Linked DNA regions of Saccharomyces cerevisiae S288C. Changing the gene in region 1 together with any one later gene gives a genetic interaction. Each region holds a gene or a part of one and is shown in the gene's direction. Other genes may lie near its edges.

Evidence for each region.
Region 2: mutations in TUF1 (region 1) and FMP48 together harm fitness more than expected from each alone (negative genetic interaction), as found in Saccharomyces cerevisiae (one large-scale study listed by BioGRID).
Region 3: mutations in TUF1 (region 1) and EMC10 together harm fitness more than expected from each alone (negative genetic interaction), as found in Saccharomyces cerevisiae (one large-scale study listed by BioGRID).
Region 4: mutations in TUF1 (region 1) and CLU1 together harm fitness less than expected from each alone (positive genetic interaction), as found in Saccharomyces cerevisiae (one large-scale study listed by BioGRID).

The regions. Positions count from the first base shown.
Region 1 is NC_001147.6:682,129-685,891, forward strand, and holds TUF1 (translation elongation factor Tu), read left to right. Parts: upstream 1-1,901; coding exon 1,902-3,215; downstream 3,216-3,763. Other genes in the region: YOR186W (uncharacterized protein), read left to right, coding at 983-1,417; MSB1 (Msb1p), read left to right, coding at 3,639-3,763. UniProt on the Saccharomyces cerevisiae protein: G-protein that, in its active GTP-bound form, binds to and delivers aminoacyl-tRNA to the A-site of ribosomes during protein biosynthesis.
Region 2 is NC_001139.9:591,766-595,237, forward strand, and holds FMP48 (protein kinase FMP48), read left to right. Parts: upstream 1-1,830; coding exon 1,831-2,940; downstream 2,941-3,472. Other genes in the region: SCM4 (Scm4p), read left to right, coding at 1-112; YGR050C (uncharacterized protein), read right to left, coding at 321-677; MCO32 (Mco32p), read right to left, coding at 3,221-3,472.
Region 3 is NC_001136.10:564,457-567,593, reverse strand, and holds EMC10 (Emc10p), read left to right. Parts: upstream 1-1,953; coding exon 1,954-2,571; downstream 2,572-3,137. Other genes in the region: YOS9 (Yos9p), read right to left, coding at 39-1,667; PST1 (Pst1p), read right to left, coding at 2,733-3,137. UniProt on the Saccharomyces cerevisiae protein: Part of the endoplasmic reticulum membrane protein complex (EMC) that enables the energy-independent insertion into endoplasmic reticulum membranes of newly synthesized membrane proteins.
Region 4 is NC_001145.3:289,492-295,490, forward strand, and holds CLU1 (translation initiation factor 3 subunit CLU1), read left to right. Parts: upstream 1-1,642; coding exon 1,643-5,476; downstream 5,477-5,999. Other genes in the region: hexose transporter HXT2, read left to right, coding at 1-213; SEC59 (dolichol kinase), read right to left, coding at 5,688-5,999. UniProt on the Saccharomyces cerevisiae protein: mRNA-binding protein involved in proper cytoplasmic distribution of mitochondria.

The DNA.
Region 1 (3,763 bases):
CAGGTTTATATCTTTATTGTGCTTAGCCGAACACTTACTTTCTCTCAAATTCCATCAAGAATTATTGTTTATTCCTCCAGAAGAGATCAAGTACCATTTACACTATTTTTTGTATTTAAGGGGTGGCAGAATTCAGGATGCCACATGCGGCTTTTAATGATAGCAAGCTTATACAGCGGAAGACAAAAAAACGGGTAACTGACATTGTATATATTCACCTTGAAAATAAGTGCTAACGCCATGTAAGGGTATGGCCCGCTTAAAGGGCAAGTTCACTCCGCTCAAGATACAAAACTGAAACGATGAAGAAAAAAAGAGCATCTTGACCTCCCGTGACTCATTAAGACCACTTGAGACCACTTGCTCTATGTGTATCAACCTATAAACTGTATATCTTTTGCATTTTGCACCTCCTTAAGGAAAGAAACTCCCTTCGAAAGTATTATTTCCCTGTGGCCCCTTACTTCTCTAATTGACAAGACAGAATTTTCTCGATAATTCCCTGGATAAAGTGTCAGTTTATAGAGTAGATCTCACTTGCCTTTTGACTGCTTCCGCAAGCAGAGGGATCGTAAGTTGTACACACCATTGCCTTGGCTATTACCACCACAATGTCGTGGCAATAGCGGAACCGTGCGGATGTAGCCATTGCTGCAAGCGAAAGCGCGGAGGTTAGCGGCAATGGCGTTCAAAACGGGATGGCTTCTTCGCCAAGTACACGGAATAATATCCAGATAGAAGTATTTTTGTGCGGTAAAGGGTACCACATCTGCAGCAGCGCAATGAAAATTGCGTATCAACAGCAAAAGAAATACTTAAATAGCATGTTTAGCACTTTTGATATAAAAAGGGGCCGCAAATGTTCTGGCGTATTACTGTTTTTTCTTGTCAAATGTGTCACTAAGCAAGCAACTTGTAATCAAGACCTCAATTCAAGGTTAGTTTACTCCTTCTCTCAAATACTACGTAACAGATCTTATTGATGACTTTGGCTTTTACGACCTTCGCTATTTCCAAGATAAACAATTCGTCCACGAATGAAGATTCTAAAGTCATGATACTGTGCGATGAGCATCACCCTTTCGAGAAGGGTTACTTTAAGTCCGCCATACGAGCCTTCGGCAACAGCATTAAGCTAGGATTAATGGGTAACTCGCGACCAGAAGACGCAGCGTCCATATTCCAAGATAAAAATATTCCTCACGATCTGACGACGGAAGAATTCAGGTTGCAGCTGGTCTGTATGGCTTTTTCCTGGTTCATATTTGGTCTCTTCATCGCCTGCTTACTACTTTGTATCACGCTTGTGCTAACATCGCGATATCCTGGAGAAAATGAAAACAAAGCCACGGAAGTTGTGCCATCCAGTAATATTGACGACGAAGAAAAGCAATTATCGCTTTCCGACATGATTTAGTACTACGTGGAAGAAAGGAAAAGAAGCTGCTTTTCTCATTTAAAACATTTAGTTTATATACTTCGCCTCTGGAGGACTTTTCAATTTATGCAATATGTGAGCACTTCTCTATTCTCGATTAGGTCTCTGATATATACATATACATAAACATAAAGCAGTAAGTTGGGTCTATTATACTGACAACCCTGTTACCCGCATTGAAATTGACAGGCTGCCCATTGATTGGTCAGTTTCCCACTAACCCGCGCTGGAGCTGATTTTTCATATTTTTAAGGATTTTGTTTTAGCACCCATCCGACCTCAGTCAATATATCCTTTCGCGACCAGGCTTTCCTCCCTTTTGCTGCTAACTGGTTACAGATTTTCCTATTTTTGGTCATTTTTATCTTTGAAACTGATTAAGCTGAAAAAATTTGAGCTTCTTTGTTGTAAACTATTTTGTGCTTTCAGTTTTATTCTAGCTCGACAAAGGTAACAGACAAAAATGTCAGCTTTATTACCAAGATTACTCACAAGAACAGCTTTTAAAGCTTCTGGGAAACTTCTGAGGCTCTCTTCAGTAATTTCTAGGACCTTTTCTCAAACTACTACTTCCTATGCAGCTGCTTTTGATCGTTCCAAACCGCATGTAAATATAGGTACGATCGGCCATGTTGATCATGGGAAGACAACTTTAACCGCAGCCATTACGAAAACGTTAGCCGCAAAAGGTGGTGCCAACTTCTTGGACTATGCTGCCATCGATAAGGCTCCGGAAGAAAGAGCTCGTGGTATTACAATTTCTACTGCACACGTGGAATACGAAACGGCCAAGAGACATTATTCTCACGTCGACTGTCCAGGCCACGCTGATTACATCAAGAATATGATTACCGGTGCTGCTCAAATGGATGGTGCTATCATTGTTGTAGCTGCTACCGATGGACAAATGCCCCAAACTAGAGAACATTTACTTTTGGCCAGACAAGTTGGTGTCCAACATATTGTCGTTTTTGTTAACAAGGTTGATACCATTGATGATCCAGAAATGTTAGAGTTAGTCGAAATGGAAATGAGAGAACTTTTAAACGAATATGGGTTTGACGGTGATAATGCTCCAATTATCATGGGTTCTGCCCTTTGCGCTTTGGAAGGTCGCCAACCTGAAATTGGGGAGCAGGCCATCATGAAACTTTTGGATGCAGTGGATGAGTATATTCCTACACCTGAAAGAGATTTGAACAAGCCTTTCTTGATGCCCGTTGAAGATATCTTCTCTATCTCCGGTAGAGGTACTGTGGTCACTGGTCGTGTGGAAAGGGGTAATTTAAAGAAAGGTGAGGAATTGGAAATTGTTGGTCACAACTCCACCCCATTGAAAACAACAGTTACTGGTATTGAAATGTTTAGAAAGGAATTGGACTCTGCTATGGCAGGTGACAATGCCGGTGTTTTACTTAGAGGTATCAGGAGAGATCAATTGAAGAGAGGTATGGTCTTAGCTAAGCCAGGTACCGTTAAAGCCCATACAAAGATTCTAGCCTCTTTGTACATTTTATCCAAAGAGGAAGGTGGTAGACATTCTGGGTTTGGTGAAAACTACAGACCACAAATGTTTATAAGAACAGCTGATGTTACAGTTGTGATGAGATTTCCTAAGGAGGTTGAAGATCATTCTATGCAAGTTATGCCAGGTGACAATGTTGAAATGGAATGTGATTTGATCCATCCTACCCCATTAGAAGTTGGTCAACGTTTCAATATCAGAGAGGGTGGAAGAACTGTTGGTACCGGTCTAATCACACGTATTATTGAATAGACTTATTGATGCAACTGGAGTATATTTCTATATATTCTGTTCATTTCCCCTCTCATAATATATACTTGTTTCGTTAAAATTTTATACGTGTAAATAAAGTGCCATAAATTTTTCAGCTTTACTTTTGGTAGAGTCCTGCTAGCACTAGATTTTACAATTTCATGTGCACACACCAAGGACGTGTTCTTATGTATATGTAAAAGATATCAAGGCGTTTTTGAATGCGTTTTTGTTGATTTGTTTACTTTCCGGCGTATTCCTACGAAAAAAGCAAAGAAAAATACAAAAAAACGAAACATTCGCAAATGATGACAACTTGAAACCGCCAAAAGTCATCGCTTGGGAATTTTGAGGCAAGAGGCTGCTTCTATAAAAGTTTTCTTTACATGGCAAAAGGGTATTCGTATTAGGATAGTATTGGTTATGAACGATATGGCAAAACCTCTCCCAACTCCACCGACTGCTGAGATCAGGAAAAGTCGATCCAATTCACCAAAAAAAGCTCAGAAAACAAATCTAAGTCCAAACAAAAATCAGAATAATGAGAA
Region 2 (3,472 bases), on another chromosome or scaffold:
ATCCGAAAGAAGCGTAAAATGTCACTCATACATGTCATTGCACATGAGCATTGTAACCGGTATAACAATTTTTACCTTTGGTAAGTGTATCCTAGATGGATTCAAAGCATGAACGACGAAGCACGTGACACGTTCCCTTCAAACATCACAATTATTTAAGCGAGACTAATATATATGTTTAGCGAAAAAAAAGGCCAAAAAAACTAGTAAATATACAAAGCAGAGTATTTTTGGCTCTTGTCCACATTGGATAAGAGAATATTTATTTTTCACACAGAAAAAAAAGTTATATACGTATCTCTAAGAAAGTCAAAGACAAATTACGTAGAATGTGATTCATTCCCATTTCGCCCGTACACTCTCTGTCTCTGTCTCTGTCCCAAACTTCCCTTCCTATACGTATTCATAATCTGCTTAAACGTCAACAGTAGTTTCGGAACATCTTCATACGTAGGGAATACGACTTTTTTCTTTTCACCTGCAGCTTGAGCCAAACTAAAACTGGGATCCGGATAAACTATTAATAAAGGATCGCAAAGTCCATACGCCAGTTTAATGGGAATGAAATGATATTGCGAAGTGACGTCAAGAATCGACTTTAAGCTATATCCGAAGTCAAGAAAGCCGAACCTTACATGCGGTCGGAAAGCAAACGAGGAGATTAGATTGGTTTTCATATCCGCTAAATTTTCTTTTGATTTTACTTTGGCTTAATCTAATGCATGTATATCGGAAGAAGCAACCGATCTGGCCCAGTTGAGTCGTGCTACCTTAGTCATGCCCAGGAAAACCGGATTCCTTCTTTTCATTATGACATCCGTTTAGGTCAATAGGCTTTTTTTTCTCTCGCCCGTGCCTCTCCGTGTTCGATGAATGTGCAGCTTGCCTCCGAGCGGGCGAGCCACCTCGAGCGGGTGACGAAATAGTGGAAAAGAAACGGGGAAGCAAAACTGTGCTGTTCTGGCCCGCAGCGGACGAACGTCATTAAAGGCGCTCCATTTCTGTCGTGAGGGTCTTTCGGTGCGGTGGTGAGGCTGCGTAAACAAGCTTGCTCTTCATACCCCTCCCGTGGAGCTAGTTCGGAAGGACTATTGGCGCATCTTCTGTTGAGAGGTTCCGTAATTCTCCGTAACGTCCCGTTCACCACTTTGCATGTGCTCTCACGTACGGCCGTCTCTTTTCGGCCTTCGGCCCGTTCCGATTTTTGTACCCCTTACGTGCTTTGAATTCTAGAAGGCATCTCCTCTCCGATGGCTTGGTACAGGGAGCACTAGGGAAATTGCACATGGAAGTATCTGGAATACAAAGTTTTTGAAAAGAAAAGCCGAGCGTAATATTGGGACAATACCCAGTTCTCAGCCTTTTCAGCGCGGGTATGAGACAGCTTGCAACAGGTAAAAGGAAGTTAGAAGGGTTAGGTGAAGGGAACGATGATGCTGCCTGAGAACAAAAATGCAGCTTCATGTTACATACAATAAAGGAAGGATAATTAAGGGGACCATGCAATAAGGGACAACTTAATTTTGGAAAAATCGGAGCTTAGTTGCATCTACCTACTAATACTTTCCCCAAAGAATAATAATACGAGTACAATACATATATATATATATATATAATATACACATGTAAGTGATGACTATTCTTAATACAAAAAAATTTCCCTTTTATAATAACTATTCTTAGCATTAAATAACCCGTTACTGACAAAAAGCATATAACATAGGACTCAAGATCGACTCTCATACCCTCCGAATCAAATTCTCACTCGTATACGCAATCATTTAAATAAGCACATCATTATCAGCATATACCGAATAATAAAAAGCAAAAATGTATACAAAACTAAGATCTATACAATCAGGAACATTTAGCACAGTTTATAAAGCATGGAGTACTACACATAACCGCTACGTCGCTTTAAAGATTACTCCTAAATACAAAACTTCAGAAGCCAACATGAAGAACGAGTATGATGTAATGAAGATTTTGAGTTCTTGTAATCCTCACCCCAACATCTGTTCGATGCTCGACTTTTACACGGATGACTCGTACTACATCATGGTGCTAGAATACTGCGAATGTGGTGATCTTTATGACTTTCTAGATATTGCTAAGAGTCAAGGTAGCCCGTCGTCTCCATCTTTGATTCAAATTGATATGCAAAAGATAATCAAACAACTGTGCTCAGCAATCAGCTTTGCTCACAGCTTGGGTATTGCTCATCGTGATATCAAACCAGAAAATATTTTGCTAACGATAAATGGTGACATCAAGTTGGCAGACTGGGGTCACGCTATCCAATCCCCTAAATCTAACGACTTCCAGATTGGTACCGATAATTACAGGGCGCCAGAAACTTTCTCTGGCCGCGTTAGTAACTCTTGTTTTAAGAAGAATTTCGATCGGTCATCGGCTCCATTGTATAACACATACCAAGCTGACTATTGGTCATTGGGTGCCACCATATTTTATCTGATGTTCGGCGATTGCCTTTTTAGAGTCTCCAAATCAAAGAAGGTTCAGCATCTAAAAAATTTCGATGAGTTTGAAAAAGATCCATTTGCATTCATTTACAGGAAATACGTAGTACCAAGGCTCTCCTGTGGTTACAATGATGAAGAAGACCTACACGTTAGCCTGCAGCATACGAGGCAGTACATATGGCAAGATCTACCCGACATTTATGATGTCTTCCATTTGTGCAAGATTATGGTTGATACCTTATTAAAGGTATCGAACGCTAAAGAGAGGTCGATGGAGAATTTCATCAATGAAGTTGATTCTGCATGGAACAAAGATAGCTCGATGGACAGCTGCTTCTCGTACCAAAATAAGATTGATCTGTTTTGGGAACAGTGGTCTGTGAACACGGAAACAGTACCAGCAAAGTTCCAATTGAAAAATTTTGAGAAACCTTGCCTAATTCAAGATGGAAAATAAGAAGTAAAAAAGACCTTTTGAAAGTTTCGCCTCATTTTCCTTGATCTGACTTTTTATCCCCTGCTTATCCAATTTTAGTTAGGAACTTTGGCATAATTTCAGTATTACATACTACCTAATCGACATAAAATAATATTACATATTCATTTTTTTAAAAAATAATCATAATCAATTTATCCTTTTTATTCCTTTTTTCTCCTGTGCAAGGTTGATGGTGATGTTTATGATGGTGTGTTTATTATTTACAAATAAAGATGCTATCTAATTCTTGTATATCGTATTAACATGCAAATGCACCGCGAGTGGCAATTTTCTTCTCGTAATGGATCAGTTCAACATCTTCAATGGTATGAACCAGAATTTTCGAATTTTCTTCGTTAAATTCGAATATGAATGTTCCCTTAATCAGCCGGGATAATCTCTTTTTTTTACTTCTTTTACCGTCGCCATCATTTTTCTTCTTCTCATCTTCTTTGGAATTTTGAGTTTCGTTGACCTTATTTTCCATTGACCTTTCAGCTGCATTTTCAAG
Region 3 (3,137 bases), on another chromosome or scaffold:
GTGAAAAAAAAAAATTAAAAGTTTATACTCCTCCTTGTTTAAAGCTCATCATGTTCGATGAAAACACCAGCTGCTACGTTTGTTACCTCCGATTCAGTATTCCCTGTCGTTTGTGATCCAGCTTCCCCGATGTCTCTGGTTGTATGACTAGTGCTTTCATCATCATCCATCCTTGCGTTGTTTATCTGCTCAACTTTGTTATCATCATTTAATGAGGATTTCAACTTGTTCATCAACGCCAGTTCAAAATCATTATTCGGTTGATTTCTCATGTTTTCAAATATTACTTCCATTTCATGTGGACTTACGATTTCGTTTAATAATTCTTTCACTTCTGCTATCTCCTTAGAAATCCTCAAGAATAGCTCATTATCAGTGTTAATTAAGTATTCATCTGACCGAATTTCTGCGGTATTTATATCTGCTTTGTTTGAGTGGGTTATTTGACCAAGTTCAGTTGACTCGCCATGATCCCCAATTTTGTATGATAGGAAGTTTCCATTATCTTCATTAAATGTAAACGTCTTGTTGAAAAATATCTCTGCTCTCTGTGAATTAAGTATGTTCAACGATAAAGTGGTTTGAAACCGATCTTTCATATCAACCACTTCCGCCAACCAAACACATGAGTCACCAGGCTGGAGAATATGTCCATTAGGTAACGATACTAATCTCAAACTAAGCATTTTGTTTATGGCATTTCCAAATTTCTGGTAATATGTTTCCGTAATCTCATCCCAATTTGACATGGCATTGTCAGTAACCATTAATTTGTCTCTTTCGTCGGTGTTAAAGGGCCTTAGAAAGTATATTCCAGAACCTAAAAAAATCGGTTCATATTTGGTGATTAAATCAATAGAGTTACTACCAATTTTTGATTTTGCGGGCATCCTGCAAAGTATAGGTGAGGCGTTCTTTTGGTCTTCATTTTTGGCTAGTAATTCTAAATTGCACAATTCAGGTATGGTAACTTGGGCTTCATAAACACAAATTTTTGTTTCTCTCACCCATTGAATAGTCGATGGTCCAGAGTTTGAGCCGCCACAGACATATTGTATTTCAACCATTCTTTCAGCCCCCGTCACATCGCAAATATCACCTGACCCTATAATTTCGCTGATGTAATATCCTACATCGTCATAAAGTAGTTCAAATTCTCTCTCTTCTACATTTGCTTTTGGTTTTCCCAGGCGGTAGACCAAAGATTCATCTCGATTTACTATTTCACCAGTTTTTGTATTTACTCTACCATGGAACTGAACAAATTCTATGCCAGGACAGTACTCGTAAATCCAAAATCCGGCTTGGTAGAAGATGCACCGTTCATTTAATTTATCGAAAATTGTCTTAACACCTTGATTCAGGGTTTTAGTTAATAATGCTGTCTTTTCACTATTGCTATGCTCATTTGAGTCTTCCAATACATCATTCAATTGAGTGCTTGCATTTTGAATAAAGCATTCAAGGTCGTCGCCCATATTCACTATATATCCCGAGTTCATGACAGACTGATTTTGTAATATCCTATCACTCCAGTCGTCCTCATCGATGTAAGATATGAGGTACTTATTCGATACTATGGGGTCTTCTATAGGTGCTAATAGTGATGATCCTAACGGAATCAACGCAGAAATTGCGCTCAGAGCATATATAATTTTAGCTTGCATTGAAACAGGGAAGAAAGGGGATGATAACGATATATGTGAAGATCTATTGCTTATTTTAGGGAATCTGCTTCTTTTTTATGAAGCTACATTTTTACTTGAAATTTCCGCTGTATTTTTTTGCATACGTGCGCTGGGTCTCTAACCACTGTATTTGCATTGGTAACTTAAAAACCCAACCAAATATAGGAATAATTAGAAGTATATAAAAGACACTTTGAGTAAAAAAACAAGGTGGTACTATTCAACACTATCTAACAAGAACTGTACAATACTCATTGAAGGAAAGATGCTTGTGCGGCTGTTGCGTGTGATTTTATTGGCCAGCATGGTTTTCTGTGCTGATATTTTACAATTAAGCTATTCAGATGATGCGAAAGACGCTATACCCCTAGGAACATTTGAGATTGATAGTACATCCGATGGGAATGTTACAGTAACAACCGTTAATATACAGGATGTTGAAGTTTCTGGAGAATACTGTTTGAATGCCCAGATTGAAGGTAAGCTGGATATGCCATGTTTTAGCTACATGAAGCTGAGGACACCACTAAAATACGATTTAATTGTGGATGTAGATGAAGATAATGAGGTCAAACAAGTGTCGTTATCATATGACGAGACTAACGATGCTATTACTGCTACAGTCAGATATCCAGAAGCGGGACCTACTGCACCAGTCACCAAATTAAAGAAGAAAACCAAAACTTATGCTGATAAAAAAGCTAGTAAGAATAAGGATGGAAGCACTGCACAATTCGAAGAAGATGAAGAGGTTAAGGAGGTGTCTTGGTTTCAAAAGAACTGGAAAATGTTACTTTTAGGCCTATTGATTTACAATTTTGTTGCGGGCTCAGCAAAGAAGCAACAACAAGGAGGTGCCGGAGCTGATCAAAAGACTGAGTAAATAAAGTATTGTGATTTTTTAAATTTTTAAGTGTCGTTACTTTTATCTCTTTCCCGAAAATATTTGAATACATAAAATTTTTAAATAAATGTTTTTATTTGTTCACATGTCGTGAATGACAGGTACTAGTTATCAAAAATGAAGAATATTTCTTCATTCCATTACATTATAGACATGATGATTGCCGTCAAAAGACCGACCAAAGGGGTTGTTTGGCCAATTGGTGCCATGATAGCGGCATTGCCTTTGGAACTCTTAGAGCTAGAGCTGGAAGCGCCAGAACTAGAAACACTAGAGGCAGAAGCAGCAGCCTTGATATCGCCAGAAGTGAACTTCTTTTCCTCGGCCTTAGAAGATGACTTGGAAACCTTGGCAGTAGTTTGGCTTGATTGAGATTTGGAAGTGGACGATAGTTTAACAGATGTGGATGATGCACCATTTTTGCAGACAAAAGATTCACCCTTGATACCCCCTTTCTTTTGCAAAGCTTTCAAAGCATTACAGGAGAAATTGCTTGACTTTGATTCGACATCTGCGCCACCCTTGACAGACTTCAAAGAGTCTAG
Region 4 (5,999 bases), on another chromosome or scaffold:
TTCTTCACTCCCTTCATTACAAGTGCAATTGGATTTTCATACGGGTATGTCTTCATGGGCTGTTTGGTATTTTCATTCTTCTACGTGTTTTTCTTTGTCTGTGAAACCAAGGGCTTAACATTAGAGGAAGTTAATGAAATGTATGTTGAAGGTGTCAAACCATGGAAATCTGGTAGCTGGATCTCAAAAGAAAAAAGAGTTTCCGAGGAATAAGAGATTATACTTAAACTAGCACTGATTTTTTTAAGGCTAATGGCTACTAATACTTTAATAGATGATCTTCATACTTTTTTATTTAACGATTTTTAATGATGTTTTTATTTGTACCACTCATTTATCTAGATTTTTTTAATACTGATCAAATCTTACGGACTCGACGTTAAAAAGTTCCTACATACGTCTGGTACTTGAAACGCTGCTTCGAGGTATTGACACTATAAGAATACGATCCAAATACTTACACCGCATGTAAAAATATGCCGACAATATGAATACTTGTTGATGAATGATATTTGATTTTAATCCGGCAATTTACCTCCTTTATATAATCCAATAATTGTTGATAATTAGTGGTTAGGTTGCAGTACTAATAAGAATTAAGACAAATATTCTTCTACTATATAAAAGGTGCAAACAAAACACACGCCGATCGGCCATACTAAACAAGACCAACATAATAATGGTGGAACCATTTACTGTATTTTCAATGTAACGACTCATATCCTTATACATGAGACGTCAAGTTTCTCGTTGAAGTAATAATGAATCTTTAACTTTACTGTGCCACATATCACGTAATCATATATTGTTTTTCGCCTTCAAGCATCAATGGCGTATTGTGGCTGATTACTTCATATGATCACTAATTAACTAATTATGAAAAATAATAAATAAGTCACCAACCAAGCAAGGAAATTAGCTTCAAGTAAACAGTTGGTTCTTTCTGGCGAGTTAGAACAAAATTAAACAATAATCTATCGACTAGCATTCATATCACCAATATATCGTCATATACAGCGAAATGATTGCATTTACTGGATTGAATGGATACACTTTGAAGATGAACCTTTATCATAGTTGAAATGGGATAGCTGAGAAACTTGTGCATGATTTGATGATTGTTTGGGTTCAACCGTTGGGGATAAGGACTATAATATTAGGTACACAGAAATTCCAAATATATAAGTAGCAGTGCTTTATGAAACTATAATGTCAGAGTAGTTATGTAAAAATAGAACAATTGATATGATCGTTTCTTTAATAACTCGATAAGGAGTTCTCTACGAAAAATATCAACAGTGAAATATAATCCGATATAGTGTAACGGCTATCACATCACGCTTTCACCGTGGAGACCGGGGTTCGACTCCCCGTAGCGGAGTTTTCTTTTTGAAGAAATTTGAAAATTTTTTTCTTCACGTCGACCAAGGTTTTTTCCGGTCAAACATGGCCAATAAAACGGATACCATTTCTTGGAAATTATACGCTTCGAAGTATTCTCAAAAAAGGAAATTGTCTGCAGTGAAGATTGGATATAAGGTTCACTAAACACAGAGTAGTAATTGAGCTGTAATTTGTTTACAGAACGAATCAAATCAGCGTAGTGTTACAGTTTATCTGAGACTGCATATCTTTAATCTCTATGAGCGAGAAAAAAGAAGAAGTTAAAAACGCCACCGTTAAGGTGACTGTCAAACTTCCAAAAGAAGATAACCATTCGCATAATACGAAACATCTCAAAAAGACCCAAAGTTCAAAAAATAATGATATATCTTTTGAAATCGGCAAGGAATCCAAAATTCAAACTGTTCTAGATGTGTTGGCTATGATTCCAAGTTCCAAGTACCTGACAAACGTTGGGCTGAAAACAATTGAAGGTGACTCCCAGCTATCTGATGAAATGTCTATAAAGGAAATTGTTGGTGAGAAAAGCGAGTTAAAACTTCAATTGATACTGAAGCCATATAGCGCAAGAGAGGCTTTGAAACATGTGATTACTGTTCGCGATTTCATCGGATTTGCCCAAGAAACCTCAGATGGATTATCTGAATTTGCTATTTCTACTGGTTCAAGCTTTTCCTCGTTACCGTTGGGTCCTATCAAGGAACGCTCAAAACAAGAAGAAAAAGACGAGAAGAGCGATCCAGAAGAAAAGAAAAATACTTTCAAAGATGTGACTGACGAGGAAAAACTAAAATTTAACGAGATGGTTCACGAAGTGTTTTCTAGCTTTAAGAATTCTTCAATTAACAAACTTCTCACCTCTGAATCCAACATCATCACGCCGTGCGTCAGGTCTTTGAGTTTCGCACCTTACAATCCTGTACCTCCATTTTATAGAAGTAAAGGTCATCTATTTTACCTACAAATTGTCACTTTGGAAGGTGAGAGTTTCTATATCACTGCAATTCCATCTGGATTCTATGTCAATAAATCAAACTCAACTAAGTTCGATCCTTCTCCAAAAGAAAACACTGACGAGAACGCGCACTCATCCCTGATCTATTACAGTCTATTTGACTTGATTGCTTCTCGCTCTAAAAAATTCATTTCTCATGTCCAAGCATTCGAGAAAAAACTATCTGCTTTAGATTCTACAAGCTATGTAAGACCAAGCAATACTTTCTTGCATAAACCATGGTTTGTTTCTTCATTGCCACCAAATAACCCAGATTATCTGAGGTTACAAACTGCCGCCTTGGATACCACGCCAGAAAGAAACTTTAATGATGAATTTCAAGCCATTAAAGATTTGACTACGTCAACATTACAAGATCGTATTGAAATGGAAAGGTTGTTTTCTAAAGTTGTACATGAATTTTCTGTTACTGCAGCATCAGGCGCTATGTCAATTTTTTACAGTGATTTCGTTGCAATGAACCCAGAATCTCCAACTCGGGATCAAATTTTCTTAAAAGACAATATCTTTTATTCCTATGTTTCCGACGTTAGTGGCAATTATGAAGGGAAAGGTGGGGATGAAGCTGCAATCGCTGCTTCCAACCAAGACTTGAAGACAATCAATATTTTGAATCGCTTGCATATGCACGAAGTTCGTTATCTTTTAACAACTGTAGTCGAATTTGCAGGCAGAAGAATTTTGGCTCAAACTCCAGTACCTGGACTCTTAGCTACCATGGGTAACAAAATTGTAAAAGATGCTAATACCGGCGAAGAGGTTACCGAAGATTTTGTCAATGATATTAATGTAAAGTACGGCCTTGATGAAGGTTTGGGAAAGATTGTTTATGATGCTGACTTTGATTCTGTTTTAGAAAAAAAGTTTGTCAAGGCATTCCATTTGAAAAAGCACAAAGTCAACGGTACTGAATTAGCATTTTCATCGCAATCCAAGGGAATAGTTGGATTCGATAAGAGGCGCTATATTTTGGATTTAGCCAACACGTATCCCTTGGACATCAACTTTGCTAGACAAAACTTTGACAACATCGAAGAGACTGGAAACCGTTACCCACACAGGCAAACTTTGTTACGTCCGGAGTTAGTAGAAAAGTGGTGGAATAATAAAGTTGAGAAGGAAGGTGTTGAATTTGAAAAGGCCTATGAAGAAAATTTGTTTAGTTATAACCCTGATGCTTACCAGGTCGAAGGTATTGAGGACGCTAATGTTGACGAAATGTCGAACTACTTACAAAAAGAAGTTATTCCCAGCGTTATTCAAGATTATTTATCTGGAAATTTGAGCACTCCTTATAATGGTGAACATTTAGCCGATACTTTACATAAGAATGGTATCAACATGCGTTACTTGGGTAAAATTATCGAGCTTTCTCAAAAGGAATTGGACTCCCAAATTGTCCACTACGAACAAAATTTGAAAGCTGTTGAACAAGACAACAAAGAATATGAGGATTGGGAAAAATCTTATCTGCAAAAAATTGAGAACATGATTAAAGAGAGACAAGCCAAGATTAATAAGCTGGTACAAGAAGGCAAAGAGGTTCCAAAAGAACTAACTGAAGATTTGAAATTAAACGATGAAGAAATCAAAAAGCCCACCGATGGAAAACCTGTGGTCGTTGCCTATGATGAGCTAGTGCCATTAATTAAAATTTCCGAATTAGAAATTGTTTCGCGTTCTTTGAAACATGTTTTAAAAGATTTGAGTAAAGATGTTCCGGTCTTCTTGGTTCCATCACTGGTAGCATACGTTTTCAATATGTTAGTTGGTATCAACTACAATGCTGATCCGAAGCCAGAACCAGTCGACGAATTTTATCCAGTCAATAAGTGCTCATTTGCTAAATTAACACGCTCCGAATTGCTGGAAGCTGTCTCTAAACAAGCCTTCTTGCGTTTCCGTCATCAATTACCATCCAATTGGATCGAAGCTTACATGGAAAATCCTTTCACCCTCATTAGAAGTGTTTCTTACAAATTTGGTATTCAATTGCTCAATAAAGAATACTTCTTTACTAGAGAACAATTGGAAAGTTATAAGCAAAGTCTTGACAAGAAAATTAGGAACAAGTTTGTCGAACCACCAACTACCTTCAGTTTAAGCGATTTGACCATTATTCCACGTGTTAAGTTCTCAGAATATACTTCTTCAGTTAGTGAGGAATTTTGGGCTCAAGGTGCTTCTATGATCAACGAAGACAAACAAAGTGCTTTGACTTTACTCGCTCAATCAATTACAGTCTTAGAAGATGTTAACAATATTTTACATCCCGCCGTTGCTGAAAAGTACTTGTCATTATCTGCCATTTATAATAAGTTAGCATTATACCCTGAAGCTATCGCGTTCTGTCGTAAAGCATGTACTATTTATGAAAGAGTTAGCGGTATTGATTCTTTTGAAATGATGAGGGCTTTAACTAATTTAGCAATTCTAGAATTCTCTAATGAAAGTCCTTATAACGCTACTGTGGTTTATAATAGGCTCGCAGAAATCCTAAAAGTTTATGAGTTACCAAAAATCCATCACCCAGCCCCCACAAGCATTTTCAACCATTTGGAACAATTAGCCCTAGGTGTTCAAGATACCAAATTGGCTATTGAAGTCTTGGGACAACTAAGCTCCTATGTTGTGGAATTAGAAGGCAAAGATTCATTAGCATATGGCTATACCGAGTCACGTTTAGGTAATTTGTTTGCAGCATTGAAGGATTTCCACCGTGCATTAGAGCACATCACTGTAACCCAAGGGATTTTCACCAAGCAATTGGGTATGAATCACACGCACTCAGCCCAATCAAGACAGTGGGTTAATGGTTTAAGCTCATTAATAATGGATTTAAAACAAAAGAAGCAACTTGCACAAGATCAAATGTCGACAACGGGATCAAATTCAGCTGGCCATAAAAAAACCAATCACCGTCAAAAGAAGGATGACGTTAAACCTGAATTGGCTAACAAAAGTGTGGATGAGTTGTTAACATTTATAGAAGGCGATTCTTCCAACTCTAAGAGCAAAAACAAAACCAACAATAAAAAGAAGCATGGTAAGAAATAGAGAGCTAACTTAACAATCTCGTTTATTTATTATTTTTCTTTATATCTATAGCCCATACTTGTATATACTACGTGTAAGTACTAGATATAAAACGAAAAAAAAATACTTACAATTATTTTTTTTTCTTTACTGCTCTATTCTTTTCTTTATTCTATTCATAAATGCAAACAATTAGTTATGTAATTTTAAAAGTTGAAAATAATTGACTTTGTCAAAGAGTAATTAATTTTTCACAAATCATCATAAATGCAGGTATCAAAATATTGTCATTAAGCACACTATTACCTTCTAGCACTCCACTCAGTGTACAAAGGGTAAGCAATTGTAAAGTAGTTAGGTGGTTAAAAATTGCAGCTTTATCAAAACGTAACAATACCAAACAAACGATAAAACTCGTTACTATAAACGCAAGAGTTCCCTCTAAAGTTTTTTGTGTACCTTTCCAACGAATGCGGCCATACCTTTTACCAATAATAGATGCTAAGGAATCACCAATTCCCAATCCTATTAGACCCATTGGAGA